Oryctolagus cuniculus: one gene and its partners. The protein of the gene in region 5 purifies or fractionates together with the protein of the main gene of each other region. This does not show direct contact. Links are inferred from orthologs where the notes say so. Each region holds a gene or a part of one and is shown on either strand. Other genes may lie near its edges.

Region 1 (4,153 bases), on a different chromosome or scaffold from region 5:
CTGGCACTGCAGGCGGCGGCTTTACCCGCTATGCCACAGCACTGGCCCCATATTGTCAGCTGTTTGAGCCACAAATGAGCTATGCTGAGCTGAAAGCAGGCGCCAGCTCAATGAACAGGACTCAGACCCTGGGACCACTGGTGATTTAGGGCCCCCTCCATGGGGCCCTGAATCTGAAGACATCTGGATGCTGGCTGAACCATCTGCTTGGCACACAAGTGCCCACAGGAAGGGGCTTCTCTGACAGGAACGCCTACAATCAAACTGCTGATCAGCTGCTGTCTCTGCTGCAGAGGCTGATTGCATTCCTGAAGTCAGATCTGTGCTGAAAGTCACCAGCTGGGAAAGGCACGTCACTGAGACTGTCACCTTTGTGCCTGCTTCGACAGTGCTGCTGTTTGTTGGCTCAGGCTCAGCTTTCGGGATTAGTTGCAGCTCACGACATTACCTGATAGTCTAACTCTGCTTCCCTTCACTTTTCTCGAGTACACACAGCCAAATGAGGTAGGTTGATAAAATGTTACTGTCCCCAGAAAGGGCTTGGTCTTTTCCAGCCTGTACATTGGGTAGACAGGACAAAAACAGAGGACAGTGATATACACTAATTTGTAAATTTCTGAAAATTTAGAATTTTATCCTCTACTAGTCTGCTAGGGTTACCGTAATGAAATACCAGAAACTGAGTGGCGTAAACAATAGGAATTTATTTTCTTACTATTCTGGAGGCTGGGGGTCCAAGAGCAAGGTGACAACAGGTTTGATTTTTCCTGAAGCCTCTCTCCCCGGCTCACAGATGGCTGCCTTCCTGCTGTGTCCTCCCAGAGTCCCTCTGTGTGTGTGTCTCTGCGTCTTATCACCCCTTTCTATAAGGCCACCAGTCCTATTGGATTAGTGCCCACCCTAACAACCCCATTTCAACTTCATCTCCGCTCTAAAAGCCTATCTCCAAACACAGTCGCATTCTGAAGTACCAGTGATTAGGGCTTCAACAAGTGGATTTTGGGGGATACACCCCATAGCATCCTTACAAGCTCCTGACTGTGTCTTTCTATTACGTTGTGTACAGATCTGTATCTGCAAAGCTGTCTTTGTACCTCCTGTATACAACTCTTCCATACAAAAGGCCTAAAAAATGATTGAAAGAATGTAAAGTTAGGATTGTTGAAGAGGACTAATTTTGTAACATTGGAGAAATAAAAACCTGGCACCTGAGGAGGCCTGATACTTGTTCTTGAGAACTATTCCTGAAAACCTTCCCCTCTTCCTGAAGGGTAAGTTCCCCGCGCTGCCTTTCCACCTGTTGGAGTGCTTGGGGTTCAGACGGCGGACAGTGGGGGAGGGGAGGGCTCCAGCACTTTGTATACCAAACACCTTCGCTTGCCATCCACACTGACGAGTAGGATAAACTTGTGTCGTGAACAGGCAAAACTGGGACTCACTGCCTTCAGGAAGTTCCTCAGAAACCAAGCACTCTGGGAACTTTTCTGATGGGCCTGAAAACATGGTAGGAGTCCACAGGGGGGCCCCTTGTTAACCTGTTGTGCCTGATTTATGTCCTGCCCTCATTTTGTAAAGGCGTTGTATCCAGGGGTGCCACCTGGGCCTCTGGGGTTGTACTTGTCTATGTGACCCTGACTGCCCTGACCCTGCACCAGCCCTGGAAGGGCTTCAACCTGCTGGCCAGAGTCCTGCCGTGCCTGAACTGACGCCTCAGGTCAGTTAGCATGGTTTACATCACCCAAGGCGGAGGCCACCTGGCTTTCTGAGATGGACTTCTGCAGTTATGGGAGTGATGGGAACCGGCTAAACTTCAGACCCGTAGCAGGCGTGACTGAAACCACAGTGCAGGACGGTCTTGCCTCTTCACACGCAGTCTTACTGGTAATTTTTCTGTGAAGAAGCCTCAGCCCAGAGGGTGAGTGGTGCAGAAGTTAATAGAGAGGTGATAAGCATTAACGGAGCAGGCTGCGGCTGGCTCCCCTTCCGAAGGTCTGTTTGCAAGGTTGACCCTGGGCTGCTGTCTGGGAGCTTAGATTTCAGGTAGGTTCTCACCGCTCCTGCGTGCCGTACACCTGCTTCTCCTGAGAGTCTGGAGTTCTGATAGGTGTTAGGCAGAGGCCAACATCATGACCAGCACCCAGTGAAAATTGTAGGTAGTCCCAACTCATTGCTGGAAGAAGTCAGGGTGTCCTTTGTGACTACGCTGGGAAATGACTGGGAAACTCACACCTGGGTTCCTCTGGACTTCGCTCCGTGTGTCTTTTTCCTTTGCTGCTTTTATTCCTAGCCTTTCGCTGAACTAACTCACAGCTGTGAGTTCAAGTGTGTGCTCCGTCCTGCGACTGTCCTAGTGAATCATCTAACTGAGGGGTGGTTAGGGCACAAGGAGGGCTTCTTGGGTGTTGGTGGGGTTCTCGTTCTCAGTCTGAGTGTTGTTTACATGGGGCATGTTTACAGTTTGTGAAAATGTGCCGCTAGGATGTGAAAATTGTCCTGTGGAGTCTTCCAAATATTAGTGAAAAGCTAAAATAGAGTACACTTGATGGGGATTTTTAAAAAAATGATGATTAAAAGCAAAAACCCTTGCTTTTACTCAGCAACCATTTCGGTAATACCCGCACCAGCCACGCATGCTGCACTGCCAGTTGGCATGAGGTGCTGTCTTCGTTGCACCAGCCTAAGTGGGGGCCTGGTCAGGAGGAGCTTGTGCTCTGATTGTCGCTACTCAGAGACCGTCCACCTTCGTGTTCTGCTGTCCCAGGGTTGTCAGTCAAGGGCCTTCGGAATGGGCGCAGGCGGGAGCTGGGTGCTGTGGCAGACTGGGAGGGTTGGTCAGTCCAGAGTGGTTGGCACCTCGGATTATTTCAGAAAAAGCCACAAATCTGAATTTTTGTGTGAGCCACCTTTATTTATTTTTTTTTGTAACTGTATTTATTTTGCCTAATTTGAAAGGCAGAGAGAGAGAAAGAGAGATTCTCTATCCTCTGTTCACTCCCCGCATGTCCACAACAGCCAGAGCTAGGCCAAGCCAGAGCCAGAAGCCAGGGACTCAAGTAGCTGAGCGGTGACCTGTGGCCTCCCAGGGTGTGCATTAGCGGGAAGCTGGACTGAAGCAGAGGTGGGACTTGAAGCCAGGCACTTTGACAGGGAATGCAAGTGTCCCCAAGCCCAGCTTGAGCTCTCTTTGCTGTGAATGAATTCAAATTTTCAAAGTGGAAAACCACACCAAACAGCCTGCAGCTCAGCTGTGGCTGTGACCTGCCCGTCTCTAGGCATTCTCCCAGCCAGCCTCCCTCTCCCGCGTCCTCTATTTTAGGCACTTGGGAAGGCGAGCCAGGCAGCTTTCCCGCGTCCCGTAGCGGGCTCCAGTGTGTGTAGGAATCACCTGGGCAGATTCTGACCTGGGAGAGCTGGAGCAGGCCTGAAGCTCCAGGTGATGGTGATGCTGCTGGCTCCTGGACGGTGCTTTGAGCGGCGTTGCTGTGTAATGCAGAGCCCTGGAGGGGACCAGAGGCGTCCCGTGAAGGTGCCTGCTTTCACTTAGATTCCAGTTTATTCGGGGTGGCTCGCCCGAGGGCCCGGGGCAGGCAGGCGGCTGCCCTGCAGGTCAGCTGTGGCTCTCTTAAACTGCCTCTAGGCGCTGCGGGGTCTCTACTCTTGGGAAAAACTTGCCCGAGGGAGCGTGTGAACCGCAGGAGCGGCCCGGCTCCCCAGTAAGGGAGAAGCCCTGAACGAATTCCCCTCTACCCGGGGCTGGGGCTCGGCCTCCCCAGGCCGGGGACGCTTTCCCAGGAGAGCCCACGTGTCTACCGTCGGCGCCTTGCTGTCAATCAAGTGTTTTCCTGCCCGGGTCCGGGCTGACGGGCGGGCGGTGCGGAGCGCTCCCATGGTCCCGCGCGGCGGGCGGGTTTGGATTTTAAATCCCCGCGGCCAATCAGTGGCGCGCAGGCTGTTGTAACGTTCCCAGCGCCGCGTTTGAATTCGGGGAGGAGCAGTGCGGTGCAGAGCCTCTGCCCCGACCCTGCCAGGTCCGCCGAGCAGCCCCGGGAGCATGAGTGCAGCGCTGAGTGCAGCAAAGCTGGCGCGGGCGCCGGCCGACCCAGGGAAGGCTGGCGGCCCCGGAGTGGCAGCTCCCGGAGCACCGGCAGCTGCT
Region 2 (4,061 bases), on a different chromosome or scaffold from region 5:
AACCTCCCAGAGCCAGGAGCCACCATGACTTCCTTACCGTCTTCCTCGTCCTCCTCGTCGTCGTCCTCGTCCTCATCGTCGTCTTCATCCTCGTCCTCCTCGTCCTCATCCTCGGAGGCGGGGGCCACCGCTGCTGCCTTCATGACCGCCGGCTCAAACTCATCCTCCTCGTCCTCCTCGTCATCTTCATCCTCGTCGTCGTCGTCCTCCTCGCTGTCCTCCTCCTCCTCCTCGTCGTCGCTGTCTTCCTTCTTGGCGTTCTTACCATTCTTGGCCCCCTTGGCGGGGAGGACCGCTCCCTTCTTTCCCGAGGCCGCTACCACTGCTTTGCCCAGCGCGGCCCCCTTCTTGCCCGACGCCACCACCGCTTTGGCTGGGGTAGCGGCCTTCTTCGCTGGCGTGGTGGCGGCTCCCTTTTTACCTGGAGTGACAACTGCTTTCTTGGCAGGAGTGGCAGCCGCAGGCTTTTTTGTCGGGGAAGCCACCGCCTTCTTGGCTGGAGCCGCAGCAGCTTTCTTGCCTTTCTTCTGTGGGATGACTATCTAAACAGCAAACACCAACAGTTAGTTCTGCTACATCCGAAAGGCAGCCCTGGTCCCAGTGGTGGATTCTGGCACTGCCTCTGGTTCAAGACTGCATATGTTCCATGTTAACATGTTAGGTTCAACAGTAAGTAAAGTGCTGTGGCGTAGCACATAAAACTGCTGCCGGCAGCCCATATGGGAGCCAATTCAAGCCCCAGCTGCTCTACTTCCATCCTGCTCTCCGCTGTGGCCTGGAAAGCAGAAGATGGCCCAGGCGCTTGGGCCCCTGCACCCACGTGAAGACCCAGAAGATCCTGGCTTCGGATAGGTCCAGCTCTGGACGTTGCAGCCACTTGGGGAGTGAACCAGTGGATGGGAGAACTCTGCCTCTCTATAACTCTCTTTGCAAATAAATAAATCTGAATATTAAAAATCATCTGGGGATCATACAGTGGGTAGTGGTACAGGATTCTTGTCCTGAGACAGGACCTGAGATAAAAATCAGCCTTAAATTGGCTGAGCAACCCTTACAAATTACAGCACATCAAATAAACACTGTATCTGTAAGAACCATTATTTACCTACATTTTAACTCCTATTCAAAGCTATTTTCATTAACTTCCTAGTTTATCAGATAGTTCACTTAAGAGTAAAGTCTTTGCTGAATTCTAAAAAACCGACTTTCCATGCAAGCAATGAACGTGAATGCTCAGGTGGCACCTTCAACCCACCCAATCGCTACAAACCTTACATACAGGGGGGGGACAGAATCCACCTGGTCCTTTATGCTGAGCAGGAGAAGTGTATCAACCTCACTCCAGCCGTGCAGAGGGCACAGATCCCAGATGCTCACACTCAGGTACTCACCCAACGGTCTCCTGCCATCTAAGCACCCCCCACCCCGGGTCACGTGAATAACACACTACTTTTCATATCCTTTTCAGACACCCAACACCATTCTGTCCACTGTGTAAGTGCAACCCAATTTCTCCTCGATCGCGACCCAGTTACCTCTTCTCCACTGCTGTCATCCTCGTCATCTTCCGACATCTCCTCGTCTTCACTATCTTCTTCTACCTCCTTGGGAGGAGGAGCCATTTTCTTGGGCTCACCTTGGTTTTTACCAGCCTAAAACGCACACAATGAGGACATGAACACCCCTCATCGATTCCACGGCCCACAATAAAATACAACCATCACCCTCCTCAACGCACTTTCAGCATTAAACATAACCGATCCTGAAACTGACCAACAGTACGGCCCATCAGAGTTTCCCTGTCAATCTTGACAAAACCTAAAAAACAAGTCCAAGGTGATGAAATAACCCATCTGCCTTTTTTTACCCTCAACCACTTAATTCACCCCTGGGTTCAACCCTAGCACCAGGCACCCTTCTTAGTAGCCAGCGGCCACTCTTCCAGGGAGGACCCCCCCCAGCCTCCGACGCACACCACCAGCGCCCTCGTCGGAACTCCGGGCAGCACCAGCGTCGCAAAAGCATAAAAGTAACAAAGCCACCTCGGACCCCAACCGGCCTGCCCCTCTCACCTGGCCGCGGCCACGTGGGGGTGCCCGGCGGCCACCATGTGCACGCACCCCGGCGCCTCCTTCCGGGGCCGGCGCACGTGGCGGCGGCCGGGGGGCCCCGGGCAGCTGGGCCAGGGCCGCGGGTTCGCGCCGGCGGGCCCCGGCCACCCCGCGGCCCACGCGGCGGGGCCCACGTGGCGGGCCGCGAGCCGGCGCACGTGCGGCCGGAGGCGGGGCCCGGCCCGCGCGCGGCGCACGAGTTGGATCTCACTTCCTCCCGCCGCCCCGCGCCCCGCGCCGCAGCCTTCCACGCCGCCCTCAGCACCTGCCGGAGCGCGCCGCACCTCGCCGCCAAGCAGCCAAGACACGCGAGAACTGCCCGCCAGTCGCGCGAGACTTCCCACAGCATGGCGCCCTCGAACGCGCCCGGGACGGCGCGCAGGCCCTCCTCCCCGCGACGCCGCGCGCGCTCCTGAGCAGCAGGCCTCGGCGCTCGCGCTCGCGCGCCCTCAGCGCTTACCTTGGCCAGCTTCACCATGATGGCGGCTTACGACGGCGGCGGCTGTGGCGCAGACGAGCCTAGAGGAACCCGAGCGGCGTCGATGGCGGCCGCGGGTGACTGAAGATGCCGGAGCACGTACGCCGGGCTGCCAGCGAGAGCTAGAGACTGAGGCGAAAGACTGAGCCTGCCCAGTAATCGCCTCTGGAAAGGCGACGACGGCGCCCTCGTGACTCCTCCTCTACCAATCAGAGCTCGCGTCCGTCGCGCGAGCCAATCGCAAGCCGCTAACTGTGCGCGGCGTGGGGCGGGGATTGGGCCGGAGTGGGCGGGCCCAGGCGGCCAAGGAGGGGAAGGGGGTCTGGCGGCCGCGTCCTGGAGGCGGGATTTGCTTTGTGCAAGGCCGGCGCTGATTGGCCCGGGGGTGCGCGGGTCGCAGAGTGTTCCTCCGCGGCCGGTCGTCCCGGCGCATGCGTCATGCGACGGGCTCTTTTGGCGCGGGGCGAGCGAGCGAGTGGCGCGGCGAACTGAGCGAACGCGGGGCGGTGGTCTCGGTTTCCAGAAAGTAGCCGGGTCCGGTAGACGTGTGCGCGGGAGGGCGCCGGTGCGCGCTCCTCGCTGAGCCTGCTTGCGGCTCTGGAGCGAGGGGTCGCGGCGGTTTCCTGCGGGTCAGCCCGAGGGCGCCGGAAGTTGAGGTTCGGCCAAGTTCCGAGTGGCCCTTTCGGGGGCCCGCCGGCCAGCCAGGGGCCCCAGACTCCCTGGCCGCTGGAGCGCCCTCCGGCCCACGTGCCTCCCGAGGGCTGCGGGTAGAGTTGTGAGCCGTGCACAAGCGCTCGGTTAGTCCCCCGTAACCACGCGGCAGGTGTTTGTCCCCGCGGTCCAGCAGCTTGGAGGTCGCGCCCGCGAGGGGCTTGGTCATGGTGGGGTGGGCAGCGGGACCTGGGCCGCCCGCCGCGCTTCCTCTGCCGTCAGTGTGGCGGCTGGGCGGGCAGCGGCACACGTGGCCCAGCAGTGGACCCGGCGCCCCGGGCGGGGGCTCGGAAGGTGGGCTTGGCGTTGTGTGCTCCTGCGGCGGCTCAGATGGGCGCCAGGCTTAGCGAACCAACCGGAGCCGGCCTCGGATGCCCCCCAGGCTTCTGGTAACCAGCTGCCCCAGCAGAACCTTTGATAAAAGTCGCCTCTGAAGGTTCAAAGTTGAGGAGGTCTGGGGGGGCCCGGGGTCGCTCTGTTTCTGTTGGAGAGGCAGAGTGGCAGACCTGCCCAGATGCCCAAAACAGCCAGGGCTGGGCCGGATCGAAGCCAGGGGCTCCATGCAGGCCTCCCCGGGAGCTGAGGGCCAGGGACCCCGGGACTCCAGCGTCCCTTGCTGTCTCCCATGTGGTCGGAAGTGGAGGTGGTGCCACATCCTAGGCACTCGGTCCGGCCCACGCGGCAGCTCAGCCTGCGGCGCCCCAGCTGCCCACCTGGGATTTTGCACTAAAGGCCTAGGAGCATTCTTCGGGGCGGCCGAG
Region 3 (4,163 bases), on a different chromosome or scaffold from region 5:
CTCGAACCAGTGCCCATATGGGATGCCCTCTCCCATATGGTGGCCCCCACACTGGTTTTCTAAAAATGCTCTTATAAGTCAGAAAATTCTTCCTGCCTAAGCTCATGGCCTTTCTCATTTTTCTGCAGCTCTTGCAGCTTCATAACACAGGAGATGACTTCCTTTTTTTTTTTTTTATCTTTTCTTTATTTTTTTTAAAGATTTATTTTTATTTGAAAGGCAGAGAGAGAGAGAGAGAGAGAGAGAGAGAGAGAGAGAGAGACAACGTTTTCCGTCTGCTGGCTGCAACTGCTGCAGTGCCAGCATCTCATATGGACACTCGTTTGAATCCCAGCTGCTCCACTTCTCATCCAGCTCCCTGCTGAATGCGCCTGGGAAAGCAGTAAGTAGAAGAGGGCCCAAGTGCTTGGGCTCCTGCAGCCCCATGGGAGACCCGGAAGAAGCTCCTTGCTCCTGGTTTTGAACTGGCCCAGTTCCTGCTGTTGCAGCTATTTGGGGAGTGAGCCAGCAGATGGAAGACCTCTCTGTCTCTCTCTCTCTCTCTGCCTTCTGTAACTCTGCCTTTCAAGTAAATAAATAAATCATTAAAAGAAAAAAAGAATTTAGGCTCCTATCCCACACCATACACAAAAATCAATCGAATATAAATCATAAACCTTTACGTAAGAGCTAGAACTATTAACATTTAAGAAGAAAACAGGAGAACTGGGAGAGACAGAGCCCCCATCTGCCAGACCACTCGTCAAATGCCTCAGCAACAGGGTGAGGCCAGGATGAAGCCAGGAACCCGGGACTCAGTCCAGGTCTCCAACGAGGGCGGCAGGGACCCCATTCCTCTTACACTGGCTGGCTCCCAGGGCCTCCATTGGCAGCAAGCTGGAGTTTGGAGCATCCAACTCTTAGATGCGGGACACTGGCGTCCTCCCGCCCCAGGCTGGGTCGTCTTCCTTCCTGCTACCTGTCACCTGCGCAAAGCTGTCTTTCTCTGCTATATCCTCAAGCCTCGTTACACAGTGGACCCTCTAACGATTAAATGAATGGCTGCATCGACAAAGGTCTCCATTTATGAGAAAAATCACAGAGGGTGCAATTCTGGCAGATTTATTAAAACTTGGACGGATTCGGTCTCTCCCGCCGCGACGCCAGCAGCTTAGACCGTAAATCCGCCCGACGCCCCGAGGCAGCCTCGCGATTAGGGAGGCGGGACTTGAACCTAGCCCGACCACACCCCTTCACGTTCGCATCCCTTCCGCCTATGGGCCCGCCTACTCCGGCTCAATGTCCACCTGTAATTGGTGAGCTCGTCAGTCTATCTGAGAAACTGAGCGCCCATTGGATCAACTGCTAGATGGGGTTGCGCACTTCCCGGCGTTAGGAACGCGGAGCGGACGTATGCTTGCCGCCATTGCTCTACTGCAAAAGCGGTTGTTCGTGTGAGGGGCTGTGGGGTGCGTGGCGGGCGTTCTGGGCCTGGCTGCGGGAGGCGTGGTGGTGTGGGGCTGAGCGGCCGGAGGGGCTGGGCCGGGCCGCGCTAGATGCAGCCTTAGCAAGGTGGCGGTACAGGCCGGGGTCTCCAGAAACGTTCCTGCTGCGCTTGTTGTGGGTCCGGGCCTTGTCGCTCATTAATTGTTGCATCCCGCTGCTGCTCAGAGTCTCCGGGCATGGCCGGAGTATTTCCTTACCGAGGGCCGGGTAACCCGGTGCCCGGCCCTCTAGCCCCGCTGCCGGATTACATGTCGGAGGAGAAGCTGCAGGAGAAAGGTGAGGAACGGGTGTGCGGCGGCGCGCGCTGGCCTGGAGACGGCTCGGGTTGCGAGCTTGCGTGTGTGGCCGGGGTGGAGTGTGCGCGTGCGCACCAGTGGGTTTGACATCCCCCCCCCTCCCATTTTGGCAGTTCGTTAGGTGTCAGTTCCCTTATGAGTGACACTTAGTATTTTTAAAAAATCGAATGAGGTAGTTTGCAGCGTCTGGATCAGCTGGCGCTGATCCGGTGGAATACAGTAGTAATGAAGACACGTCTGCCATTATGGGATTTGAATTGCAATGAGGGAGTTTGACAATAAAAGCCTCGAACACCTGTGACAAAAACATCAAGCAGTGTTAAATGTGGTGATGAAGATGGCAAGGGAGGCGCCCTTTCCCGCTGGGTGCCCTGCTGTCCCCAGACTTGTCTTCTCTAACAGGAGCTTACCCTAGGACAAGGGGGTGGGGTGTAATCAGGCTAAGAGTGTGCATTCAGCCCTTTAAACCGGGGTGCTTTTGTAGCCCGAAAATGGCAGCAGTTGCAGGCCAAGCGCTATGCAGAAAAGCGGAAGTTTGGATTTGTGGACGCTCAGAAGGAGGACATGCCCCCAGAACATGTCAGGAAGATCATCCGAGACCACGGGGACATGACCAACAGGAAGTTCCGCCATGACAAAAGGGTCTACTTGGGGTAAGGATTATCCTGAAATCATTTCGTTTGGAGTTTGGCCTTCTCTTCTCTCTACGGAGGTTGCTGTCCTGGAGAGATGCTCTGACATTTGGAGGTGGGAGTCCTCTTGGTTGACTCCATTTTGGTGGTTATGAGAGACAGGAGAACATTTCTAGGATTTACTGGTAATTTTCAGATATTCCAGTTAATGCACTTTAGTGCCCAGATTCCTCTTCCTGATCTGAGACTGGTGCTTTAATTTGTCGTTTTAAAAAAGATTTATTTATTTATTTAAAATGCAGAGCATCAGCTGGAGAGAGATTTTCCAGCTGGCTGCAACAGCTGGTGTTTGGTCCTCTCTCCAGGTCTCCTATGTGGGTGACAGTTCCCCATGTACCTGGGCCATCTTCCATTGCTTTCCCAGGATCGTTAGCAAGGAGCTGAGTTGGAAACAGCAGCCAGGAATTAAACTGGCACTCTGACATGAGCTGCCTGTAGCCAGTCTGCGGCTTACCCTCTTTGTGCCACAGCGCTGGCCCCTTAATTTGTCTTATTGGTGCTATTAAAAGGTGCTTCTTTTATTGAACGAGTTGAGGTCCAGAGTGGGACAGTCTGGCTGCCTGTAACTTCGCAGTGACCAGACTTGTTGTATTTGGGGTGGTTAACTCCTGAGTCCTCTGTCCTCATGTTTCTCTGTCCCTGAGCTGAGTGAATACAGATAGAAAAGTCACAGCTAATCTTTGTTCCATTTGAACACAAAGATGTTAACTGTGGAAGTTTCATTTATTTAAAAAATATTTTGATGTGTGTGGATTGTGCTAGGTGCCAGGGGTATAGCAGTGAACAGGTACTAATGATTCCTACTTTTCTGGAGCATTATAGTCTGGTGGTGTGGCCAACACGAGACTACCAGTTACAATAAAGTATGGTGAATATTTGATAGTTTGTGGGAAGGTAGAGAGAAGATAGGTTGTGAGGGAGCTTCAGAGCTGTCTGCAGAGGGGTAGCTGTTGATTTCAAGGGATTGATGCCCCTAAACTGGGGGACTGTGAAGTTGAGGAGGAAAAGAGGCACCTGGTGAAGTAGGAGAGGGAGAGGCAGGATTCCTGGTCGGGGGGGCTGTGTGCTGACGGGAGTCTAAACTGTCAGGGAAGATTGCCCGTGGAACACGATACTGAGGTAGCATGGTTCTCTACATAGGACAGGGAGCAGAATACCTTGTCGTTGCTAATGATCTCTTCCCAATGTGGCAGGGCCCTCAAGTACATGCCCCATGCTGTCCTCAAGCTCCTGGAGAACATGCCCATGCCTTGGGAGCAGATTCGGGATGTGCCTGTGCTGTACCACATCACTGGAGCCATTTCCTTCGTCAATGAAATTCCCTGGGTCATTGAGCCTGTCTACATCTCCCAGTGGGGGTAAGCGAGGCTGGCACACGGTGCGTGTGGTGATGCTGGTCGGGAGGCAGTGAGTAGAACTTGCTATACTGTGGTACTCTGGTCTGCCAGGTCAATGTGGATCATGATGCGTCGAGAAAAAAGAGACAGGAGGCATTTCAAGAGGATGCGTTTCCCCCCTTTTGATGACGAGGAGCCGCCGTTGGATTATGCTGACAACATTCTGGATGTTGAGCCACTGGAAGCTATTCAGCTAGAGCTGGACCCGGAAGAGGATGCGCCTGTGTTGGACTGGTTCTATGACCACCAGCCTTTGAGGGATAGTAGGAAGTGAGTGATGGTGGAGTTACCAC
Region 4 (4,108 bases), on a different chromosome or scaffold from region 5:
AGCGACTGGGGTGCCCCCTCTGACCTCCCATCTCGGTGACCACCCCCTGGGGGGAACACAGCCCGCGCCCCACCGAGTTCCTCCAACTTCCAGAAACAGACAGGGGTACACGCCTGTCACGCAGCCACGGGGGCAGGGGGGAGGGGCCGAGCGCCCACCAGCACAGGGCCTGTGAGACCGATCCCTCACGTGACGGAGCTGAGAGAGGACAGCGGGGCGGGGCGCCCTGGCAGGCCGGGGTACCTGCGGCATTGTCCATGTTCTCACACAGGTCGGACAGCAGCTCCAGGGCGCCCTCGCGCTCCTGCTGGTCGCTGGCCAGCTCGGCCTCGGCGGCTGCAGAGGGCACAGGCTGCGACAGCACGCGGAGGCAGCTCTTCATCTGCTCCACCTCCTCCCGCTGGCCCCGGAAGGCGGCCGACATGGCCTCCTGCAGCCACTGACGCCTCTGCGGGGGAGCAAAGCACACACCTGTCGGTAATTCATCAAGGAGGAGCGGCCGTTACCCAGGATGCCCAGCACCTGAGGGCCGGCGGCGGCCACTGGGGACGCAGCCCTGGGCCAGCAGAAACCCCTGCTCTGAGGGCAGTCGCGTCTGGTCCCGGAGCAGATATTGCAGAAAACGGGCAGAGTGAGTGTGCCAGGGGAGATAGGACAGGTGCCAGCGGGCCCCACGGCGCTGAGGCGGGGCTGCCACCAGGCAGGGGTCAGGGAGAGGTTAGGGGCTGGGACATGGCTGGTAAAGCCGCCGCCTGCAGTGCTGGCATCCCGTATGGGCGCCGGTTTGAGTCCCAGTGCTCCACTTCCCATCCAGCTCCCTGCGAATGCTCCCGGGGAAAAGCAGCGAGGGCGGCCCAGGTGCTGGGGCCCCTGCACACGTGGAGAAGCCTCAGATGATGCTCCTGGGTCCCTGCTTCCACCTGACCCAGCCCCGGCCATCGGGGGAGTGAATCCGCAGATGGAGGATCTCTTTCAAATAAGCAAAATCTTAAAAAAAGAAAAAGAAAGCAAAACAAACAAAGGAAGAGCTCCAAGGGGAGGGAATGACGGGAGGCCGCCATCGGGTCGGGGTGAAAGCCGAGCACTGGCCAGTGTGGGTCCCTCCCAGGGCCCCGTGCGAAGGCCTCACAAAGGGCTCTGCTCGGGCCGGGACAAATCTGGCTTCCTCCCTGTGGCACAGGTTCAAAACAGGACGCACAGAGCGGATTAGCAAACGCTTCCCATTCGGTGACCGGCGATTAAACATTATGCACGACTACATAACGACTACATAACAATATATAATATGGTATACATTGTAATAACAAAATGTATAATATTATTGGTAGCATAATATTGCTACCAATCTTCAGAACAACTCCAGGAGGGGCCTGTGTCGTGGTGTAGCTGGCGCCGGCATCCGACAAAGACGTCGGTTTGTGTCCCGGCCATGGTCTGGGAAAAGCAGCGGAGGATGCCACAAGTGCTTGGGCCCCTGCCACCCAGGTGGGAGACCCCGGTCAAGCTCCTGGCTCCTGGCTTCCGCTTGGCCCATCCCTGGCCGTTGCGGCTATCTGGGGAGTGAACCAACGGATGGAAGACCCTTCTGCCTCTCTCTCTGTGACTCTGGCTTTTCCAACAGCTCTGTGAGCTATCACCATCATCCCCGACTCACGGAGAGAGCACCGAGGCACGGGAAGGCTACCACCGCCCCAGGGTCCCGCGGTCAGCAGTCGGCAAGGCCTGAAGCCGGACAGAGCGGAGCCTGTGCCCTGGGGGCGACCTGGCTGCTGCCCGCCCTTCCTGAACTGGAACCTCCCAAGTGCCCGCTCAAGTACTGTCAATCATCGCCGGTCTACAAGCGACAAACCTGAGGCTCTGAGTTAAGTACCGTTCCTACATCCAAGGTCACGGCGCCGATCCAGCCGAACCCAGGCCTGCCTAGCTCTGCGGAGTCCCTGGCCACCCCCCACCGGGCTATTGCACCTCCCGGAAAAGTTCTGGGGTGCGAGCACCTGTCCTCCCAGACGCTTCTGGGGCCTGACGCGCCAGGACTGCCGCCCCCTCCCAAGACCGCGGCCTCCGGTCCCGCACCCCCGCCCGGCGTCCCCCTTCCTTACCTCCTCACTCATGGGCTCCGGAGGGGGGTCCGGCTCCTCCGAGCCCGCCGCGATCGCCATCTGCAGCAGGCCCGGCAGGCTGCGCGGGGGCCGCGAGTTGCCCGAGCCCCCCGCCGCGGAGCCGCTGCCCCCCGAGGAGCAACCCTGGGAGGCTGGGGGCAGCGCCAGGGGCAGGCGGCTGCCCCCCGAGCCTTCGTCCGCCATGGGCCGTGTGTGCAGGAGAACGCTGTGCTGCGAGGGAGAAGGGGTCGCTGCTGGGGCAGCCCCGGCGTCCTGAGGGGTCGGCTCCCGGGGATCTGCCGAGAAGGTGACGCTTGGAGCCCCCGCACGACCCCCATCCACGCAGCGCCCCAGAGCCGCAGGCACCCCCTGCCCCCTGGCAACAGGCCCCACCCACCCTCCCTAGCAACAGCCCCATCTCCGCGCCGGGCGAGCCCCACGGCCCAACCCCCGTAGCGGCAGGCCCGCCCGCCCCTCGGCCTCCTTCGCAAAGGGTCTCCGCCCTCCTCTCCGAAGGGGGCGGCGCAGCGGGACAGACCTCACCTCCAGGACCTCGGGCTGCGGCCGCTCAGAGACTCAGAGCCGCCCGCACCTGACTCTGCTGGGCGCCGCCATCTTGACAGGAAGTACGCGCGCTCTAACCCGGAAGTGTTGGGCGGACCCAGCCGACCTCGGGTGGCTGAGCGGCCCGAGGCAGCTGGCAGGTCTCCGGAGCCCTCCATCCTACCCCTCCCAGCCAGGCCCCGCCCCCACGCCGTGCCTCGGGATAAGCCCCGCCCCATCACCCTCACTGCAGCCCCGGTGTGGGCCCCCCAAGCCTGGCTCCGACCCGGGGCCCCCGCCTGCATCCACGTCCCCGCCCCTGTGCCTCTGTTCTAGGCCTCCCGCGACCGCTAAGCCACGCCCCTCCCCAGGCCACGCCCCTTTCCTGCAGGTGCTGCGCCCTAGGTCGGTTTGGGCATCAACCCCAAATCTCATTTTCTCTTCCGCCTGGGCATCCACTTTGCCTTCTGCTGGAGCCCTAGGGGTCTTGCACCTTGTATTCAACCTCCGATGCCGCCTTGGGCCCAGCCCACCGCCTCACCTTCTGCCTCAGTTTCTCCATTTGTCAAATGGTGGTTGCCCTGGGGCCCCCTGTTCTCCCCTCGCTTCTCCCTTACAGAGTGCCAGGTGCTGGGAGGGAATCGCAAGTGACGATTCTGTGCACCCAGCCGGGGCCAGGGGCTGGGCTGGGCCGGGTCGGGCTCAGAGAAACCCCGGCTCGGCTCCTCCAGGCACCGCGCTCGGCCGCAGGTATCCATCTCCTGCCGGGCCCTCAGCGGGGTATCTCAGGCAGAGATGGGGCGACAGACAGCTGGGCCGCCTGGGCACACCAGGGAGCTTTGTCAGCCAGGCGTCTGGCCCTGGCAGTACCCATACGGTGTTTTCCTGTTGCTGTCGGTGGCTTAACACGGCACACACCACGCATTTCTGAAGGCAGAAGTCGGATAAGGTTCACTGGGCTAAAACCAAGGCGTGGGCAGCATGGGATTCCTTCCGGAAGCTGCTCCCGCTCCTGGCCACGTGGCGCCAGCACTGCTCCCATCTCCTGTCCTCCCCAGCACCCCTCTTACACAGAACGACCCTGTGATCACACTGGACTCACTCAGATCACCAGGAAAACCTCCCCCATTTCAATGCCCTTAACCGCAGCTTAAGCCGCCGGTCCCACCTCAGTGCTGGGTCAATTCCTGCCCGTGCCACCTCCGATCCAGCTCGCTGCCATTGGGCCTGGGAAGGCAACAGAAGACAGCCTGAGTGCTTGGGCTCTGGCCTGCCCTAGATGGAGCTCCATGTTCTGGGTTTCGGCCTGGCCTGGCCCTGGCTGTTGCAGCCATTTGGGGAGTGAACCACCAGATGGAAGATCTCTGTCTCCCCCTCTCTCTCTGCTACACTGCCTTTTTTTTTTTTTTTTTTTTTTTTTTGGACAGGCAGAGTGGAAAGTGAGAGAGAGAGAAAAAGGTCTTCCT
Region 5 (3,983 bases):
CCCCCTCAGGCCCCCACCTCCTCCGCAGCGGCCCGCCCACCTAGGCCCCCACTGACGGCATGGCCACCCGCTGTCACCTGCTGTTAACAGGGCCAGCTCTAGGCGCCAGCAAAACCGCACTCCGACGCCGGTAACAGGAAGGTTGGGCCCTGCGGGAGAAACGGAAGCGGGCCCGGGAGCACCCAGGCTAGACGCCTCCTCCTCCAGGCAGCCCGGGACCAGCACCACGACGCCGCAGGGCGCCTGCCACCGCGGCACAACCGCGCACTCTTCCCGCAGGCAGCACAACCAGAGCCGAGCCCACCCCACGCCCGGGCACACGGGAAGGCGACCCCGCGGGAGCATCACCCGCGGCACGGCAGGAGTGCGGGGCCGGTGCGGGCAGCCCGGCCACGGCACTGCCCAAGACAAAGGGGGCGGCCTCTGCGCCCCAGGCCCGAGCGCGCCTCCCGCCACCCAGCGCGGGGGTCTACCGCACCGCCGAGGCCCCCGCCGCGGCGCAGGGAGCTCAGCTCTGCATCGCCCCCACGCATACAACGCGCCCCGCGCGGGACCCGGGGGTGAGCCGTGGGCGCAAGCACAAACCCTCCAGCGCCGGGACGCACAAATGGCGTCGAGGCGGGAGCCAGGGCCGCCTCCGGCCCCTTCGCGTCTCTTTCCTTCGCGGGCCAACGGCCCCAGCGCCCCCACTACGAGCCTCCTCCGCTGGGGAGGCCGCGGAGACGCCTGCAGCAGACGACACCCACATGCCCCAAGGCCGATGCCCAGCACACGGGAAAAGCGCCCAGCCCCGCGAGCCCTCCGCCGACGCCAGCCCCAGCAGCCTCGCGCCACGTGCACGTCCAGCCGGAACCAGACGCACCCCCGCCGTCCCCCGGTCACCTCCTCCGGCTCGGGCTCCCGCTCCTGCCCGGGATCCAGCCGCCGCTTCCCCGGCCGCAGTGCCAGCGCCACGGCGCGCCCAGCACCCTGCACGCCCGCCATGCTCCGCCGGCCGCTTCCGGCAGAACCTCGCAGCCGCATGCGCCTGCGGGCCCGGGACCGCCCCGCCGGCCCTGATTGGTGATTGGTCGGAGAAGGGGCGGGGCCTCACTTGCGCAGGCGCGAGGCGCGCGCAGGTGCGCAGGCGCGTTCCGGGGAGGGGCGGGGCCGGCACGCACAGGCGCGCAGGCGCACGCCAGGGCCGCGGCGGGCGGGGCGCCGGCGGGAGCGCGCCCGGCGCAAGATGGCGGCGGCCATGCGAGGCCCTGGAGTTGCGTGTGCGCAGCGGGCGGCGGCGCGGCCCGGGAGACAGGCGCGGCGACGGCGCTAGCCCTGCCCTCGGCCCCTCCTCACGGCCACTCCCTCCGCCTTTCCCGGCGTCGCCCGACATGGACCTTTCCGTGGGCCCCGGCGCGGCGGGGCCCAGCAACGTCCCGGCCTTCCTGACCAAGCTGTGGACCCTCGTGAGCGACCCCGACACCGACGCGCTCATCTGCTGGAGCCCGGTGAGGGCCCGCGGGGGCGGGGAGCGCCGGGGGCCCGGGGCCTGGGCGGGGGCCGGGGAGGCGGGCCGGCGGGGCGGCCGGAGGAGGGCACGGCCCGGGCCCGGCGCTGCAGGCCCGCTCTCCGCCGCGCAGGCCGTGTGTGGGCCGAGGCCCGGGACCTCGGGGAGTGACCCCCGGCTCCTCTGCGCGCGTTCTCCGCCTCCTGCCTCCTGAGCCCGCAGGAAGTGTTCTTGGCCGGGCAGGGCCCGGACCTCGCGGGCCCTCTGAGGGGTCCTGCGCGCGGACGCTCCGGGAGCGGCCACGGCCCCCTTGCTGTCTTGCTTATTGGGTCGGGAGGCGGCTGGGGAAGCGGGTGCGCCACTCTGGGCTTGGAGTGGGAAAGGCCCCACCACCTGTGGCCCTGCCGGCGCGTGGTCCCTGCGGGCCACCGGGACCCGACACACAGCTGACGGCGACCCCAGACCAAGCCCTGGCTTCACAGCGGAAGGCGGCGCTGCCCCAGGCTGGCTGCCTGGGCACAGTGGTGCTCTGGTCACCTTGGCCCGGAGGACACCCACGCAGGGCCCGTAGCCTCTGCAGGGTCACTGCCCAGAGTCCAGCTCGCCAAGCGTTGGGGAGGGTCTGAAATCCACGCCCGAGGGCCTTCTGCTCCTCCCCGAAGAGCCGGGGCTGCCTGTCAGCAGGGGTGGGGTGGGTGGAGAGCGCGGCCTGTGTGGGGCCCGGTGTAGCCCCTGCACTTGCCTGCCCTGGCCTGAGATCCGGACTCCTGTCAGCCACAGGCGTGGGGAGGACGGGGCAGTGAGTCACCACCCAGAGGGTCTGTGGGGGCAGGGATGCTGGCTCCGCGCCCTCCCGGGCAAATCCTCCTCCAGTTCAGGCTGCCCGAGGCAGCCAGGGCCCCCCCCCCCCACACACACACCGGCCCAAACCCCTGGGCGGGTCTGCTGGGCGCAGCAGTCAGACTCTGGGGGGCCTGGGGGCAGGGGGACACGCAGGCCCCAGTAGCCAGGTTGCTGGGCGCGAGGTCGGGGTTCCAGGTGGGTCTGTGCACCTCGCCGCAGGCCTCCCACCGCTTCCCAAAGAGGCAGAGGGGGCCGAGGACCCGGGTGAACAGGTGGCTCCACACTTGGGGCATGAGGCCGGTCCCTCAGCCCCGCTGCCTGCTCCTGGTGCCGGGGCCTTGCAGGGCTGAGGGCCAGCTCCGAGCTCCCAGCCCAAATGTGCGTGAGCAGTGGAGGCCGGGCGCGGCCGGGACGGAGCCCACCTCTGACCGACCGGAGTCCTGAGAGGGTGGAAGGCAGTTTACAAAGCGGCCTGGGTGTGGGGTTGCAGACTTTGCCGGTGCAGGTGGGCGTGTCCTGACCCGGAGGCGGCAGCGCCCTGCAGGGCTGGCTGGGGAGGTTGCCAGGAGAGCGCTGCCCCTGCTGAGCACCTCCCTGGCCTCTTTGGGAGGAGGCTGTGCTGTCCGCCAGGTCTGCTGGGGGCAGGGCGACACCCAGATGAGGGGTTTGGGAAGCGAGCCCCCCCCCTGCTGTGCTGAGCCAGGTGGGCTGGTTCCCAGCAGGCCCTGAGGCACAGGGCGAGGGCGCCCCACAGTGGCCGTCACAGGCCCTCTCATGGGTCCCCTTCAGGTGGGCGGGGGGGCGGGGGGTGCTCAGCACGGTGAGGCGGGAGATGGTAAAGACAAGTCTGGGCTCTTGCCCAGGCCGGCCAGCGTCACTCCCGGGAGGGAGGCAGTAGGGCCCCAGCACACCTGCCTCACAGTCAGGATTCAGAGGGTCCCGCCCCCTGGAGCGGGCGGGTGGAGGGACGGATGGACGGACGAGACAGGTTCTGCACTGTCTTCCTGTCCCTGGGGCCAAGGCAGGTAGGGCTCAGTGAGGACAGGCAAGGGGGTTAGAGCAGCGCCGGTGTTTGCTCCCAGCCCCTCAGTGAGGGGAGGGGCCGGCAGACAGCTCCCACAAGGCCCACGGGCCCCAGAGCCTGCTCCTTGGATGCAGGCTTCTTGGAGGCCTGGCAGGAGGAGGAGCCTCATGGGGGACGGGACGTTGGCCCCCAAATGTGTGCTGGTGCCCAGCAGCCCTGCTTCTCCCTTCTGGCCTCGTTGGTCCTGGGTGAGCAGAGAATTGTCTGGGCTGCATGACCCCGCGGGCCCAGGGCAGAGGGTCCCAGCCAGCCTGGGCAGGGTGAGAGCCAAGCTAGGACTGGGGAGGGGCTCCAGGAGTCGGCCCTCCTCTCTGCCCCACAGCTCCTGGCTACCCCACGGCTCCCTCGCCCCACGCGAGCCATGCATGTGCATCTGGGCTTGGGAGCAGAGCACACGCTGCACGCAGGTCTTGGCTGGGCAGGGTGACTGACGGGCCTGCCGTGGCCAGGACACAGCCTGGGCCTGAGGAGGGGTCCCGTGAGAGGCAGTGGCCAGCAGCCCTTGTGGCTCGTGGAGCCCTTTGAGGAAGGAAGCCACACGTCCCTTCTCCACGTGCAGCGTGCATGCAC

What was found. The genes of interacting proteins can lie anywhere in the genome.
Region 1: the proteins of HSF1 (region 5) and PLK1 purify together in Homo sapiens (affinity purification with western blotting; 3 studies listed by BioGRID and IntAct, with this or other methods). This does not show direct contact. The link is inferred for Oryctolagus cuniculus from reciprocal best matches to the Homo sapiens genes HSF1 and PLK1.
Region 2: the proteins of HSF1 (region 5) and NCL purify together in Homo sapiens (affinity purification with mass spectrometry; 3 studies listed by BioGRID, with this or other methods). This does not show direct contact. The link is inferred for Oryctolagus cuniculus from reciprocal best matches to the Homo sapiens genes HSF1 and NCL.
Region 3: the proteins of HSF1 (region 5) and PRPF8 purify together in Homo sapiens (affinity purification with mass spectrometry; 3 studies listed by BioGRID). This does not show direct contact. The link is inferred for Oryctolagus cuniculus from reciprocal best matches to the Homo sapiens genes HSF1 and PRPF8.
Region 4: the proteins of HSF1 (region 5) and HSPBP1 purify together in Homo sapiens (affinity purification with mass spectrometry; 5 studies listed by BioGRID and IntAct, counting the BioPlex papers as one, with this or other methods). This does not show direct contact. The link is inferred for Oryctolagus cuniculus from reciprocal best matches to the Homo sapiens genes HSF1 and HSPBP1.

The regions. Positions count from the first base shown.
Region 1 is NC_091450.1:15,675,920-15,680,072, reverse strand, and holds the start of PLK1 (serine/threonine-protein kinase PLK1), read left to right. Parts: upstream 1-1,353; 5' UTR 1,354-4,051; coding exon 4,052-4,153. Other genes in the region: DCTN5 (dynactin subunit 5), read left to right, coding at 294-460. UniProt on the Homo sapiens protein: Serine/threonine-protein kinase that performs several important functions throughout M phase of the cell cycle, including the regulation of centrosome maturation and spindle assembly, the removal of cohesins from chromosome arms, the inactivation of anaphase-promoting complex/cyclosome (APC/C) inhibitors, and the regulation of mitotic exit and cytokinesis.
Region 2 is NC_091434.1:7,817,194-7,821,254, reverse strand, and holds the start of NCL (nucleolin), read right to left. Parts: upstream 2,801-4,061; 5' UTR 2,590-2,800; coding exon 2,572-2,589; intron 1,653-2,571; coding exon 1,536-1,652; intron 543-1,535; coding exon 38-542; intron 1-37. UniProt on the Homo sapiens protein: Nucleolin is the major nucleolar protein of growing eukaryotic cells. It is found associated with intranucleolar chromatin and pre-ribosomal particles. It induces chromatin decondensation by binding to histone H1.
Region 3 is NC_091448.1:47,208,467-47,212,629, reverse strand, and holds the start of PRPF8 (pre-mRNA-processing-splicing factor 8), read left to right. Parts: upstream 1-1,363; 5' UTR 1,364-1,448; intron 1,449-1,527; exon of another isoform or gene 1,528-1,650; 5' UTR 1,651-1,661; coding exon 1,662-1,761; intron 1,762-2,265; coding exon 2,266-2,434; intron 2,435-3,666; coding exon 3,667-3,831; intron 3,832-3,921; coding exon 3,922-4,140; intron 4,141-4,163. UniProt on the Homo sapiens protein: Plays a role in pre-mRNA splicing as core component of precatalytic, catalytic and postcatalytic spliceosomal complexes, both of the predominant U2-type spliceosome and the minor U12-type spliceosome.
Region 4 is NC_091449.1:3,620,615-3,624,722, reverse strand, and holds the start of HSPBP1 (hsp70-binding protein 1), read right to left. Parts: upstream 2,801-4,108; 5' UTR 2,643-2,800; exon of another isoform or gene 2,638-2,642; intron 2,396-2,637; 5' UTR 2,304-2,395; coding exon 2,100-2,303; intron 449-2,099; coding exon 244-448; intron 1-243. UniProt on the Homo sapiens protein: Inhibits HSPA1A chaperone activity by changing the conformation of the ATP-binding domain of HSPA1A and interfering with ATP binding. Interferes with ubiquitination mediated by STUB1 and inhibits chaperone-assisted degradation of immature CFTR.
Region 5 is NC_091437.1:168,053,747-168,057,729, forward strand, and holds the start of HSF1 (heat shock factor protein 1), read left to right. Parts: upstream 1-1,183; 5' UTR 1,184-1,370; coding exon 1,371-1,487; intron 1,488-3,983. Other genes in the region: ribosome biogenesis protein BOP1, read right to left, coding at 883-984. UniProt on the Homo sapiens protein: Functions as a stress-inducible and DNA-binding transcription factor that plays a central role in the transcriptional activation of the heat shock response (HSR), leading to the expression of a large class of molecular chaperones, heat shock proteins (HSPs), that protect cells from cellular insult damage.